2 linked regions of the Anolis sagrei genome follow. The protein of the gene in region 2 purifies or fractionates together with the protein of the main gene of each other region. This does not show direct contact. Links are inferred from orthologs where the notes say so. Each region holds a gene or a part of one and is shown on either strand. Other genes may lie near its edges.

Evidence for each region. Proteins that work in one complex are often made in the same cells at the same time.
Region 1: the proteins of RUNX2 (region 2) and UBTF purify together in Homo sapiens (co-immunoprecipitation; 3 studies listed by BioGRID and IntAct, with this or other methods). This does not show direct contact. The link is inferred for Anolis sagrei from reciprocal best matches to the Homo sapiens genes RUNX2 and UBTF.

Annotation. Positions count from the first base shown.
Region 1 is NC_090026.1:44,540,779-44,547,992, forward strand, and holds the start of UBTF (nucleolar transcription factor 1), read left to right. Parts: upstream 1-4,181; 5' UTR 4,182-4,273; intron 4,274-4,569; exon of another isoform or gene 4,570-4,700; intron 4,701-6,151; exon of another isoform or gene 6,152-6,338; intron 6,339-7,214. UniProt on the Homo sapiens protein: Recognizes the ribosomal RNA gene promoter and activates transcription mediated by RNA polymerase I (Pol I) through cooperative interactions with the transcription factor SL1/TIF-IB complex.
Region 2 is NC_090021.1:148,150,777-148,158,316, reverse strand, and holds the start of RUNX2 (runt-related transcription factor 2), read right to left. Parts: upstream 3,100-7,540; 5' UTR 2,881-3,099; intron 2,671-2,880; 5' UTR 2,606-2,670; coding exon 2,548-2,605; intron 1,317-2,547; coding exon of another isoform or gene 1,294-1,316; exon of another isoform or gene 1,254-1,293; intron 1,176-1,253; exon of another isoform or gene 1,119-1,175; intron 1-1,118. UniProt on the Homo sapiens protein: Transcription factor involved in osteoblastic differentiation and skeletal morphogenesis. Essential for the maturation of osteoblasts and both intramembranous and endochondral ossification.

The DNA.
Region 1 (7,214 bases), on a different chromosome or scaffold from region 2:
GCCCTGGAGTAGACAAAGTGGAATCTGTGATGCCCAAAGCAACCACTCACAGACAAACTTTCATTTTACCTCAGCAGTAAATGAATTAACAACCTATCACAAAGCAGCTTTCATTTTACCTCAGCAGTAAATGAATTAACAACCTATCACAAAGCAGCTTTCATTTTACCTCAGCAGAAGAAATAACAATCACAGAGCAGCTTTCCTTTTACCTCAGTAATAAAAGAAAAACAGCCAATCACACAGGAGTTGTCATTTTTTCTCAGCAGTATAAGAAATGAAAGCTGAGCTCTGATTTTTTAACTTTTTAAGCCCTTTCTGCAGTGTTTTTCAGTGTTTTTATGAGTGAAGGTCACTCGTTGGCCTGATAGGTGTATTCACACCTAGCTCCAGCAGGGAAGAGCTCTTTGCCCCACTCCAGCCATTCCACAGATATATAAACCCATTGTCCTAATTCCAACAGACCTCACTACCTCTGAGGATGCTTGCCATAGATGCAGGCGAAACGTCAGGAGAAATGCCTCTAGAACATGGCCCTATAGCCCGAAAAAACCCACAAGAACCTAATAAGAAATACTGTTTACCCACAAGTATAAAGAAATTACATATTATTATTATTATTAAACTTTATTTGTACCCCGCTAGCATCGCCCGCAGGACTCGATACGGCTTACAAAGGCCAAGGCCTCAACACAACAACAGCAAAACAATAACAGTACAATTTAAAGCAAAATAAAAACATAAGCAATAAAAACAATACATCAATTATGCAATAAAAACCAGGGCCAGGCCAGTGATGGGTACAAGTTAAAAAGTGCTGGGTCTGGCAGGTGGTATTTGGATTTCCGGGCAAGTGCAATGTGCAGAGAGTCTTAAACTCTAATAAAGTGCTTCTGGGACGTAGTGCTGGAGATTATCCTATTCCAGAAAGGCACATCGGAATAGCCAGGTCTTCAGATTCTTCCTGAAGACTGCCAACGTGGGTGCTAGTTAGTCTAATGTCTTTGGGGAGGGTGTTCCAGAGTCAAGGGGCAACCAGAGAAGGCCCTGTCCCTCGTCCCCACCAAACATGCCTGTGATGCAGGTGGGATCATAAGCAGGGCCTCTCTGGATGAACGAAGGGATCGTGTGGGTTCATACACGGAGATGCGGTCACGCAGGTAGGCAGGTCCCAAACCGTTTAGGGCTTTGTAGGTAAGCACCTGCACCTTGAATTGGGTTTGGTAGGTAAACGGCAGCCAATGGAGCGCCTTAAATCTCTGTGTGTGAATCATCTATATAAATAAAAATGTCAGGAGGGTCTTGATTTACGTTTTCTTGCCCTGGTGAAGGGACTTGGACTGGATAACCTCAAGTATGGGGGTTCTGTGTGGGAAGTTTGCCCCAGTTATGTCGTTGGTGGGGTTCAGAATGCTCTTTGATTGTAGGTGAACTATAAATCCCAGTAAGTACAACTCCCAAATGTCAACGTCTATTTCCCCCAAACTCCATCTGTGTTCACATTTCGGCATATGGAATATTCGTGGCAAATTTGGTCCAGATCCATCATTGTTTGAATACACAGTGCTCTCTGGATGTAGGTGAACTACAACTTCCAAACTCAAGGTCAATGCTCACCAAACCCTTCTAGTGTTTTCTGTTGGTCATGGGAGTCCTGTATGACCCGGTTGGTTCAGTTTTATCATGCGATTGTAGGTGAACTATAAATCCCAGCAACTACAACTCCCAAAAGACAAAATCAATTTTTTTGAGTGAAGGACATACATTGGATTGTTAGGTGTCTTGTGTCCAAATTTGGTGTCAATTCGCCCACTGGTTTTTGAGTTCTGTTAATCCCACAAACGAATATTATATTTTTATTTATATAGAACAGGGGTCCTCAAACTTTTTAAACAGAGGGCCAGGTCATGGTCCCACAAAATGTTGGAGGGCCGGATTATAATTTGAAAAAAACATGAATGAATTCCTATGCACACTGCACATATCTTATTTGTTGTGCAAAAAAAACCCCACTTAAAAACAATACATTAAAATGAACAATTTTAACAACTATAAACTTATTAGTATTTCAATGGGAAGTGTGGGCCTGCTTTTGGCTGTTGTGATAGGATAATTGTTGTTGTGTGCTTTCAAGTCACTTCAGACTTAGGTAGACCCTGAGCGAGGGCCAGGTAAATGACCTTGGAGGGCTACATCCAGCCACTGGGCCTTAGTTTGAGGACCCCTGATATAGAAGATAGAAGAAGATTGATAAGATTCCCATCCAAACCCAAGTAACGAAGGTAGTATAATCCAATTTAATATAATCTAAGTGCAAAGATGACTGCAGATGCAGATTGTGGCCAGGAAATCAGAAGACGCTTACTTCTTGGGAGGAGAGCAATGTCCAGTCTCGATAAAATAGTAAAGAGTAGAGACATCAGACTGGCAACAAAGATCCGCCTAGTCAAAGCCATGGTATTCCCTGTAGTCACCTACGGATGTGAGAGCTGGACCTTAGGGAAGGCTGAGCGAAGGAAAATCGATGCTTTTGAGCTGTGGTGTTGGAGGAAAGTTCTGAGAGTGCCTTGGACTGCGAGAAGATCCAACCAGTCCATCCTCCAGGAAATAAAGCCCGGCTGCTCATTGGAGGGAAGGATACTAGAGACAAAGTTGAAGTACTTTGGCCACATCATGAGGAGACAGCAAAGCCTAGAGAAGACAATTATGCTGGGGAAAGTGGAAGGCAAAAGGAAGAGGGGCCGACCAAGGGCAAGATGGATGGCATCCTTGAAGTGACTGGACTGACCTTGAGGGAGCTGGGGGTGGTGACGGCCGACAGGGAGCTCTGGCGTGGACTGGTCCATGAGGTCACGAGGAGTCGGAGACGACTGAACGAATGAACAACAACAACATAATCCAATTTAAAGCAGAAAACCTGGGACTGAAGGCCTGTCTGGGAGGGCCTATAGACAATCTTCTTCTATGTATTGTCGAAGGCTTTCATGGCCGGAATCACTGGGTTGTTGTAGGTTTTTTCGGGCTGTATGGTCATGGTCTAAATCTTCTTCTATTTACAAATCGGAGCAGAAAATAAAGGCAATGGAATCCCATACTATTTATGATTATTACTTTAAGGCGGGGGAAGAGGACTGCATAGATCTGGCTGAACCCGCCTACCTCTCACCATAAAAAATACACCTAATGGCGTCTTCGTCTGCGCGTCAAAGAGTCGCTTTTGCGCATTGGAAGCGGCGTTAATTTGACAGACAGCTCCCAAAGCCGAGGATTGGCTGGAGCCGGAGATGACGCCCTTAACAACAAAGGTGGAGCTCGGAAAGTAAAAAAAAAAAAAAAATTTAAAAAAGAGAGAGACAGAAACGAGGAGGGAGGAGGGGAAAAAAAGACAAGCTTGCCTTTTTGGCTTTGGAAAAACGTCATGATTATTAATTTTTTTTCCCCCTCCACAAAAAAATCAAAAGAGGAGTGTCCCTTTTGGGTTTGTTTTTTTTCTTACTAGTTGTTTACAAGTCAAACAAAAGAGGGACCCTTTAAAAAAAAAAGATGGCTCAGTTGCAAAAAAAAACATGTCCGCAGTGGCAGAAAAGAATGGTTTGCTTTGGGCATCATAGAAACGGATCTTTTTCTATCTCTCTTTCCTTTTGAAAAGAGAAAGAGAGAAAAAAGGGGGAGGTCTCAGGAGGAATTAAAAACCCGACTGCAGTGCGTGTGTGATTTGTGATCCCCGCCAAAAGGAAGAAGAGACGGAGAAGAGGAGAGGATTTGTGGCAAATGTAGGGCTTGGCCCCCTCCTCCTCCTCCTCCCTTCCTTCTTTCTCTCTCTCTCTTTTCCCCCCTCCCTTCTGGTTGGAGTACAACAGTGTTGCACAAGCAAAAGAGCAATAAAAACACAAGAGAGAAGCAAAAAGGAAAGGCGGACAGAAGAGCACAGAGAGGGAAGAGAGAGGAGGCGGGGAGGAAGCAGCCAAGATGGGTCCTGCCTTGGAGGAGAAGGAGAAGAAGGAGGAAGGGAAGCAGGAGCAGCTCTGGCCTGAAGGATCCGGATTGGAAGAGAGAGAGAGGAGGGAGAGAGAGAGAGAGAGAGGAGGCAGAGGCAGCAGCAGCAGCAACAGCGAGCGCGATGGAGGCGGGGGAAAGCCGCGCCAGCTCTCTCTGCGGGGACGGGAGCGAGGAGTCCACGCCCGGGGCCAGCGCTGCAGAGCTGGCGTGCAGTCAACCCGCGCTCCTCCGGAAACAACGAGCCTCTCTCTGCTGCCTTTTCCCCGAGAAGCAGGTAAGAAGGCCAGGGGACGAATAGGGGGGTCGGTCTGTCTGGGGAGATGTTTCCCCCCGCGGCAAAGGCGAGGAGTGGGTGGGCGAGGAGGGGAGGGGGAAAGAGGGAGAGAGGAAGGCACGATCCGAAGTGGAGGAGGAGGAGAGCCTCTGCTTGCTGCTGCTGCTACTCCTGCTTCCTCCTCCTCCTCTCTCCCTCTCTTTCCTGCAGCCGGGGCTTGGCTCGCCATTGAGCCGAGGGTGAGCACCGCCATCTGGGGAGGGAGAGGGAGGGAGAGAGAGAGAAGGAAGGAGGCGCTTTTGTTGCCGCTCCGGAGGAAGCAAGCAGGCGAGAAGAAGGGAAGGGGAAGGCAAGGCAGGCGAGGTTCTTGCAGCAGCTGCAAGCAAACAAGAAGGGAAAACAGGCAGGAGAGGCTCTTGCAGCAACGGTAAGCAAACTGGGGAAGAAAAACACAACCCGTTCTTTACTTTTGGGGATATATTGATTCGAAAGTCGGGGGTTTTTTTGCCACGCGGCTGCCGAAAGCAGGAAAGAGAAGGGCCACGAGTGGCGGCCATGGAAGAAAGGCTCTTCTTTGGCAAAGGGACTGAATCGCTTCTATTCTTCCCTAATATAAAGTCTAAAATCTTCCCTTTTTGTGGTGTCAAAGAGAGACTGAACTCCTAATTTCCCCTCTTTATAGAGCCTAAATCCTCCCCCTATAAAATCTAAATATTCCCCCCTTTTCAGAGCCTAAATCCTCCCCCTATAAAGTCTAAATATTCCCCCTTTCCCCACCTTTATGGAGCCTAAATCCACCCCCTATAAAGTCTAAATTTTCCCCTTTGGCGGTGGCAAAAAGAGACCGAACCCACAATTTCGCCCCTTTATCCTCCCCCTATAGTCTAAATATCCCCCCCCTTTATGGAGCCTAAATCCTCCCCTATAAAGTCTAAATTCTCCCCTTTGCCGGTGTCAAAATAGAGACTGAACCCCCAATTTTCCCTCCTTTATCCTTCCCCTATAAAGTCTAAATATTCCCCTTTTTGTTGTGTCGAAAGAGAGACTGAACCCCCAATTTCCCCCCTTTATCCTCCCCCTATAAAGTCTAAATCTTCCCTCCTTTATGGAGCCTAAATCCACCCCCTATAAAGTCCAAATCTTCCCCTTTTTGCGGTGTCAAATGAGAGACTGAACCCCCAATTTCCTCCCGTTAATCCTCCCCCTATAGTCTAAATCTTCCCCTTTTTGCGGTGTCAAGAGACTGAACCCCCCCCCCCAAATTCCCCCCTTTACCCTCCCTCTATAAAGTCTAAATCTTCCCCTTTGGCGGTGTCAAAAGAGACCGAACCCCCAATTTCCCCCACTTAATCATCCCCCTACAAAGTCCAAATCTTCCCCTTTTTTCGGTATCAAAAGAGAAACCGAACCCCCAATTTTCCCCCCTTTGTAAAGTCTAAATCCTCCCCGTTTTTGTTTATTTTGACCCCCGACTAAAAAGGGAATCCTTAAATGTATTTTGGAAGTGAAGGCCACCCTATTGTGCCTTTTCTGTGCAAAGAAAGCAACGCCAATGGGTGCTTATTGGTTTGGGGTGTTTTCTTCCCAATGGGTGCACGAGGGGAGGCGCTCCCCGGGGGGATCTGGGCGAGGAAAGGCCGCGAGGGTAGCGGGAGCCACCCTCGCGGCCTTTCCTCGCCCAGATCCCCCCGGGGAGCGCCTCCCCTCGGTAGGCCTAGCTTCGCAGCCCTTCCGCCGGCCATGCCTTCTTCCTTCATGGCTGCCTGCCTCGCTGCTCTCTCCTCTTTCTCTCTCTCCTCGCCTCCTCTCCTCTCCTCTCCCTCCCGCCGCCCCCCTTCCTCCAGCCGCGGCTCCGATGGGGCTCTTGCTGCAGCGGCTCCTCTCTCCGGCTCCTGCTGCTGCTGCTGCTCCTCCTCCTCCCCTTTTCGCTTTTGCCACAACGAGGCGGGTTCGTCCTTCCTTCCTTTTGAGCGGCGGCGAAGGCAGCAGCAGCCCTGGCTTCGGCTTCTCCCTTCTTCTTCTTCTTCCCTTTCTTTCTTTCTTTCTTTGCGGAGGCGCCCCAGAGGTTGGTTTCTCCACCAAGGCGGCTTGTTTTGGGGGAGAAAGAAGGGGAAGAAGAGGGAGGATGTAGTAAGAAAAGGAGGGAAGGGATTCGGATTGGGAAGGGGGATATTAGAAGGGAATGGGGTTGGGGAAGGGAAAATATAAGAAGGGAATGGGTTTGCGGTTGGGGAAGGGAAAATAGAAGGGAATGGGGTTGGGGAAGGAAAAATTTATGAAGGGAATGGGGTTGCGGTTGGGGGAGGGAAAATATAAGAAGGGAATTGGGTTGGGAAAATATGAGAAGGGAATGGAGTTGGGGAAGGGAAAATATAAGGAGATAATGGGGTTGGGGAAGGGAAAATACAAGGGGTTTGGGGAAAGAAGGGATTTGGGGTTGGGGAAAATTTAAGAAGGGAAGGGAAAATATGAGAAGGGATTTGGGGAAATACAAAAAGGGATTTGGGGTTGGGAAAAAGCTTCCGATTGGGATTGCAAATCGCATAGAGGCGTGTATTTCAGTCGAGAAGAAAGCTCCTGGTTGGAAATAATAAGGAAGGGATTCGGGTTGAGATAATTTGGAGGGGGGGGGACATAGGGAGGTAGTTTAAGGGAAGGGATTTGGGTCGAAATGAAGCCTCCGATTTGGGGAAAATAATATAATATAGGGAAGAAAAAGAGGCACGGTTTAATGGAAGGGATTCGGATTGAAACCAAGTTTCGGATTGAGGTTGAAAATATAAAGATTTCGGTTGGGAATGGGGGGAAAATAATACAATATGGGGAAGGAAATGAGGTGGTTTAATGGCGGGGATTTGGTTTGAGAGGAAGCTTCCGATTGGGATTGAAAATTAATGGGAAAGGGAGGCACAATCTAATGGATTTTGGGTTGAGAAAAAGC
Region 2 (7,540 bases):
CATAGTGGGCTTCTTCATTTAAATTAACTCCTCTTCTATATTTTTGGTATGTTTAGAGTAAATGTGCTATTGCTGCTTTTACCTGCACAATAAATTAACCGGCTAAATTATAAGTAATCTAGATCAAGGCCTCAGATACTGAATTTGCATTCATTTATAATATGAGTTACAAATAAATGATATAAAATACACTTGCTGCCATAAGTACATGCGGATTTTTAAAAAAGATTACCTAAATCTCTCTTGGATATAAATGGTGGAAATTACTAGCTTATTTACTAGCCAACAATAATGGTCTTCATTCTAATGGACAGGTGATAATTTGGCCGACAAGGAAGCCATTGCTGATTAGAAGAGATTGCTGAATGGAACAGTAAAGCAACTGATGCATTCCCATTGGCATGAATCAGAACTTTTCATGGACATATACTAGCTGTAAATGACTTAAGATATTTATATTACTCTTTTGAAACAGCTACCAAACAACAACAAACAGCTTTAACCTTTAACTAAATATTGCCACCACAAAATTGTAAAGAGCTATTAATATTTTGACCTGAAAATTTATTATTGTTTGGCCATTTCCTTGGCCAGTCTTATTTCAACGTGGTAGATTTGGAAGGATGATTTTTTCCGTGGCCTAGACATTTTCTGGTGATTTAAAGAATGACCCAAAGGAGAAAAATTAAACAGTTAACCCAAGATATAATTTTGTCAGCTAAACTTCTTGTTATTTCTTTTTGGATGTTAAAGAAAGTCCCTGTACGTGTAAACTGTTCTTCCTGTTATAAACGCTGGAATAATGTGGTCTGGCTACCTTTATGCTGTGCTTCATTAAAGTAGATGTTTGGGTTGAAAAAAATGCTTGCTATTCTAAAAAGCCTTGGCCTTCTGTGCCACATTTTAGCATGCTGGTTGCCTAATTACGGTGTAGCTCAGTGTGACAAACTTTCAGAAAGTCAGCTTTGAGGCAGAGGTCTATATAATGCATTCAAATGTCTTTGGATATCAGAAATTACACAGGCCCCTCTGTTCCCTGAGTACAAGCCTTGCTTCATATCTAATTGTGCTCGCAGATTGCACTAGATTCATATGTTTCGACAAGAGCCAGTTGAAACGTGTGAAGTAGGAGGGGTAAAAGGAACTCCGGCCATCAGCTAAAGAGAGAAGACAAGGTGGGTGCCTGCACTGAAAGCATTTCAAGCATCAATCAGGTCCCCGTTGCCCCCCCCCCCCCCTTAAAAGAAAAAGGGAAATTTATTAGCTTACAGCCTCGGTATAATTTTGAACCAGATGGACAACGTTAAAGGAATATTGTAAGTGTTTTGATTTTTTCCCCTCTGTCTCTGTGTTGATCTTGTTTAGACATTTTTGAAAATATGTTTGTAGTATTTCCAAGGAAGGAAAAACACCTCTCTGGCTGCTGGGCAAAAATCCTTTGGGGTTTAGACAACTGTATCTTTAGAAGCTAAAGATCTCAGCACTGCTGCCTGCTGTATAAAACTCCTAGTCGTATTATGTATTCTTAAACAAAATTTGGCAGTCTTTTATTTCATGTGGTATTAATATATGTTACTGACATAATTTCAAAAACAGATCCTAGATGGCCAAGATCAAAGGGTTGTTAGAGGTGCTGCTTTACAGCTTGGGAACTTTCCTCGTGGACTGCATTCATTCAGTGCCTTTGCTGAGTTTACGTCTTATCCTAGGATGATATTATAAGCCGTCTGTTTTAAAAGAGGCATTGGCAAAGGTTTCAAAAACATTTGCAACATTGGAGGTATCACATCCATCTGCATCATTCTGTTTTGCAAAAAAGATCTCCGTATGTATGTTAATCTTTTCAGAAGAGCATAATGTGTTTCCTTTAACTTTTAGTATATTTGTAAATACATTTATAACATTGAGAATATGAATTGATACATTATAAGTCAGGTTAGGTACACAAATTTGCCAACAACTGTGATCCTTAACATAAATTATTCTGAAATTTGTCACATCTATTTACATGGAAAGAAGGATAGTTTCTCTGTGCTAATGCATTGTTCGCAGTGGAGTATGGGGCCTTCTTATTATAACAAAATATCGGGATCTACGTTGATCCGTCTATTTTGTCTTCTATATGACTTGATTGCAATGTGATGATACAAATTTGAAGAATTCTGTCGCTCTGAAGTTTGTTAATATATCGTGGGATATACCTATTTTAATAAATTTAATAAATGAAAAAGCTGATGGGCCTTCATTCAGTTGGTTTAATATTGATGGCCCACATTGTAACTCTATATTTGTAAAGCTGACTTCAGCAGTCGTAAGTTTTCCATATAGGTGCCTGATTATTCAGAGAATTGCATAATGAAGAGCACACCTGTAGCTCAAGGAATTGTAGACATAGTAAAATAGTACTATTCTGGGTATTTAAAAACAACAACAATGTTATACACAGTTCTATTTCCACTATGTTCAACAGTATCAGTTTAAACAGAAATAGGTAATGCATAGTTCATTGGTATCAGCAATATTTCATAGCATTTGGCAGTCACTTACCCCAGAAGAAGTTTTGTTGACAAGGTGTCACTGAGCCGAAGAGACTGTTTGATGCCATCGCTCTCCCCTCTGCCACACAGTATGCGATTATCTTCTGGTGCAAAAACTGTCTGAAGCCTTAAACTGAAATCACAAACCATAGCCAAGCTTGATTTTAGTTTTTACAGCATACCCAGGGTGCATATATTTCTCTTCTGTGTCAAAAAATTCTGCAGGATGGGTAACATGCTACAGAAAGCAAAGAAACAAAACAATTCCAAAAAAGGAGGGGGGATAAGCAAATATTAGACAGATCTACTATTACTGAATAGACTGTGGTTTGAGAGTACTTACTGACTCTGTTGGTCTCAGTGGCTGCTGGTGACCTGTTGAGATTAACCATTTAAAAACCAAAGGCTTCTCGCTGTGTCCTTTTGGAGAAAGTTTGCACCGCACTTGTGGTTCTGTGGTTGTTTGTGAGGCAAATGAAGCATTCACACAATCCAAAAAAGCAAAAGCTTTAAAAATCCCTTTTTTTGCAAGCACTGTTACTGGAGAGACAGAATCATGTGGTTGGTGACATCATAGTAGTCAAGTAAAGTGGGACTGCCCAGCACTGTGGCTTTTTCTTTCCTCCCCCTTTTGAAAGTCTGACAAAAGGCCCGTGGTAAGGTCCTTCCTGGTATCCAGAAGGATATAGCTTTTTAAATTTTATGACTCATGAGGATTTGGAGGGCATACAAAATGCTGAAACAGCCTAAACCCCTGTGCTGTTTAAGCATATGGACAGCAGAACTTCGTTTATACTCTCCCTGCCTCTTTTTCTCTTCTTTCTAGCCCCCCCCCCCCCCATCCCAATTGTGTCCGTGGAGAAGCATGCCAGAATTGGCACAAATGTCTGTGTGAAATTCTGAACAACAGTGATGATTTACAGTAATTTACATCTTTGGGCTCTATCATGATCTTGGGGTCTGCTTCAGATTTGCTGGATTCCTTCTGTTTTTCTTTTTCTTCTCTTCCTCTGCTTGTGAATCTGTAACTCATTGTAAGAAACTTTACCTTTCCTCAAGTCCTACTAGCAGACAGCTTACTGAGGCTGTGTTTTGGGTCTGTAATTGGCTGTCACCAAAGTGTTAGTCTGGGGATTCTTTTGCAAACCTTAAATCATGTCTGTCTAGGTTACGTGCTCCCAAGGCTAGATGGCAGCTTTATTAAGTGCAATTATATGTCAACCTTTTCTGTTCCGTACAAAACTTGTCATATACATATGGTAACATCTACATTTTAAAATGGAGAACGGGAGGATATAGAATAGAAAGAGTTTAATATTAAAATTAATGCCAAATAATTATATACTTAGTATATTATAGAAAAAAAAAGAAGAAAAAACAGCGCTTACTGTAAGCAGATTTTGGCAAGCAAGTATCAAGTAATTGGAATGCTCTCTTTGAAAGTGAATGCGAATCTGGTTCATTTGTCCTGCCTGGACAGATTGATGTGTATGTTTATATGGCCTCTTAAAATGGGCTAGAATGCAATTATCTACCAAAGGCTACTTAATTATATTCACGCCCATCATTAAAAAGTGAATCTGCCTAGGATTTAAGCCTCAAGTTGAATTAAATTATATTGTGTAGGTTTTTTTTAAAAATGTCAGGAGCGATTTGAGAAACTTCAAGCCGCTTCTGGTGTGAGAGAATTGGCTGTCTGCAAGGATGTTGCCCAGGGGACACCCGGATGTTTGATGTTTCACCATCCTGTGGGACGCTTCTCTCATGTTCCGCATGGGAAGCTAGAACTGAGACAGGAGCTCACCCCTGCTCCCCGGATTCGAACCGCCAACCTGTCGGTCAGCAGTTCTGCCGGCACAAGGGTTGAACCCATTGTGCCACTGGGTATGTTGGTGAAAGAATAGAAATACTTTACTGTGGTATTTTTTATTTGCCCATTTGTGTTTAGAACGAACTTAGAAACATCTTTGACAAATTATCTAATCTTTGTCCCTATTACTCCTGGTGCAGTAGAGTCTCGCTTATCCAACAGAAACAGGCTGGCAGAACGTTGGATAAGCGAAAATGTTGGATAAAAAGGAGGGATTAAAGAAAAGCCTATTAAACGTCAAATTATGTTATGATTTCACAAATTAATCACCAAAACATCATGTTTTCCAACAAATCGACAGAAAAAACAGTTTTCAATACATGGTAACATTCTGTAGTAATTACTGCATTTATGAATTTAGCACCAAAACATCGCAATGTATTGAAACAGCTGTGGATCTGGGCGGAAGACAGACTGTGTTGGATAATACAAAATTGTTTGATGAGCGAAGATTGGATAAGCGAAACTCTACTGTACTTCATAGTTTTAATGGCAGGTTTGGATGAACTAGTTTTCACAAACTGAACCATTAGTTACCAGCTTTTTAACACTGCTTCCTAAAATGTGGGTCCGGGTGCCAAATGGGACCCCATTAGCTCGATGTTGGTATCACAAAAACAGTAAAAGGTTTCTGAATGCCACCCACTGATTTACTCAAATCTGTTAGGAACAACATGCAGTTTTTACAGTGGACTCTGCAGAAAATGCTTCAGCTGTACACAAAAAGGAAAGTCAGCCTGTTTAGCAAGCCTTGTAAATGCTGATTTATTATTAGTAAATATTTGATTTATATACCTGTTTTATATACCTATATACCCAAAAAGGGGTCACGAGTGGAAAAAAGTTTATGAAGCCCTGTTCTAGATTACATAACAGTTGCCTCCCTTGCACTTAACAATCATCAGGCATTTCAAGAGGGCCACAGTAAGGATCTTTTTATAAATTCACATAATTAAATTTAACTAATTTAAATGATGGCTCAGATGTGAATGATACAATCAAAAACTGGATATTATACATATGTATGTACAGTATATTATCAAATATGCATGACATTTGGACTGGATGCTTTTAAAAAATTTGTTCAGCAATTTTGGGTTTTTACTTGTTATAGTTTGATACTAGGAATGATACTTGGAAATAAACCCATCCTCATGGATGGCCATCTATTGAGAGTGCTTTGAATGCAATTTTCCTGCTTTTTGGCAGAACGTTGGACTAGATGGCCCACAAAGTCTCTTCCTGTTCTATGGTTCTATGTAGATGGATTTTGAGACTTACAGTGAAATTCTTTATGGTTCTACTCTAAAATAAAGCCAATGCACTGCTCACATGACTATATCAGGCTGGCTCTCAGTGTAACTTACTGCTAGGTAAATGAATATGTAAATGTATATAAGATGGAATAAATTTATTTAGGGAGCATCAGCGTATTTCCGAGCGTGTTTTTTCTTGCTTGGAAATATTGGTAAGGAAACCACGGTTGGAAGGTACTTTGAAGCTTGGAATAGAAGATACATTTTTTCTTAAACAAAGCTGTAAGCTATATATTGACATATTTTTGAAATCTGCAGTTCTTCCAGCAACCTAAATCTTGAATGTTTAAATAATTTAAATAATTTCCCTAATATGAGTGAACATTACATTCGTTAAGGCCAATAAACACTAATCTTTGTGCTTCTGTATAGCTTGTGTGTTTGTGTGTTAGACCTATTTGCAGTTTTATTTGGGATTATTTCTTTGTTTTTGTTTTTTGAGATATGGTGTGACAAGTTCTGTAATGCAGATTTAAAAATAAACATGCTTTGTGGTTTGTCTTCTTTGAAATGGCTTATACATATTTTAAAGATAAAAATAGAGTAATAATATGTCCTTTTTGTTTTAAAAAGATATGTGTGAAGGTAAAGATAATTCTATTTATGTTATCAACCATGTACTTATTTATTTACAGTATTTATACCCCACCCTTCTCAACCCTGAAGGGGACTCAGAGCGGCCTTACAAAGACAACAATTTGATGTCATATACACAACAGACATAAAATAAATATATACATTAAAACATGAATTTAAAAATCATATAAAATTAAAACACATTATTAAAAAACACAATCCAAAATCATAGTCAAAAAGCCGTTCCAATTGTCATTGCACATTTTCCCATCATCACTTATTGCACTGCACTACCATCAGCAGCAACAACTTTAGAACAAAAAAAACTGAAGCAAACTTTGAAAGTTACTTTTTTTTACCATGTGACAACAGTATTGTCCAGAAATCTCTATTGTGGTTTGGTAGCAGCAACATATTTGTATTATTTTTAACTTGTATTATTTTGATAAGTAGTTAACCTTGGGTCCCATTATTTGGAGAAAGTGGGATATAAATAAGTAATAATAATAATAATAATAATAATATGCACTCATCATTCGAAAATACATCACAAAGTCCTAGACATTTGGGAATTGTTTGACTTGTGATTTTTTGATACAAAATCCAGCATATAGATCTCATTTGCTGTGACATACTGTGCTTTTGTGTCAGTAAAATAATATGCTTTTTAATCTAAAAGTAAACATCAATTTTTCTAAGTTAGTTGATCCAAGAATGTTTTTGGACATGATTGAGGAAATAATTTAAAAAAGAATGGTCCTGCAAACCATGCACCACCTTATATTAACAGCATGATCACTGATGCATTTGGATCTATTTTACCATAAAATCATGAACAAGGTCATTTTCCCCAATCCATATAACCTCCTGAACCACAAAACGTTCAAAATCCTTTTGGCAAACCTGTAATCCTCACTTTTTGTGTGGTGTTTAAATGTTTATATTTATTTGCTTTTAAGCAGTGCGTACAATGTAAATAATACATTTCAAAAAATTATTCGTGTTGAAATAATTTGTTTTTATAACAGATCTAAACAGTCTATTTTTTCTCTGAAAAATACCTTGTATGAATAGCCTATAGAAAATATTTCTGTTTTGGTAGTTCTGTAAAACGTCTGTAGTATGCCTTTTAAAACTAACTGGTAGCCACTGCTGTCCTAGCTTGAACTCCATTGCAATATTGCAAAATAATATTGTACCATTTAAGACCAATGTGACTGTATTCTATAAATAAACTGCAG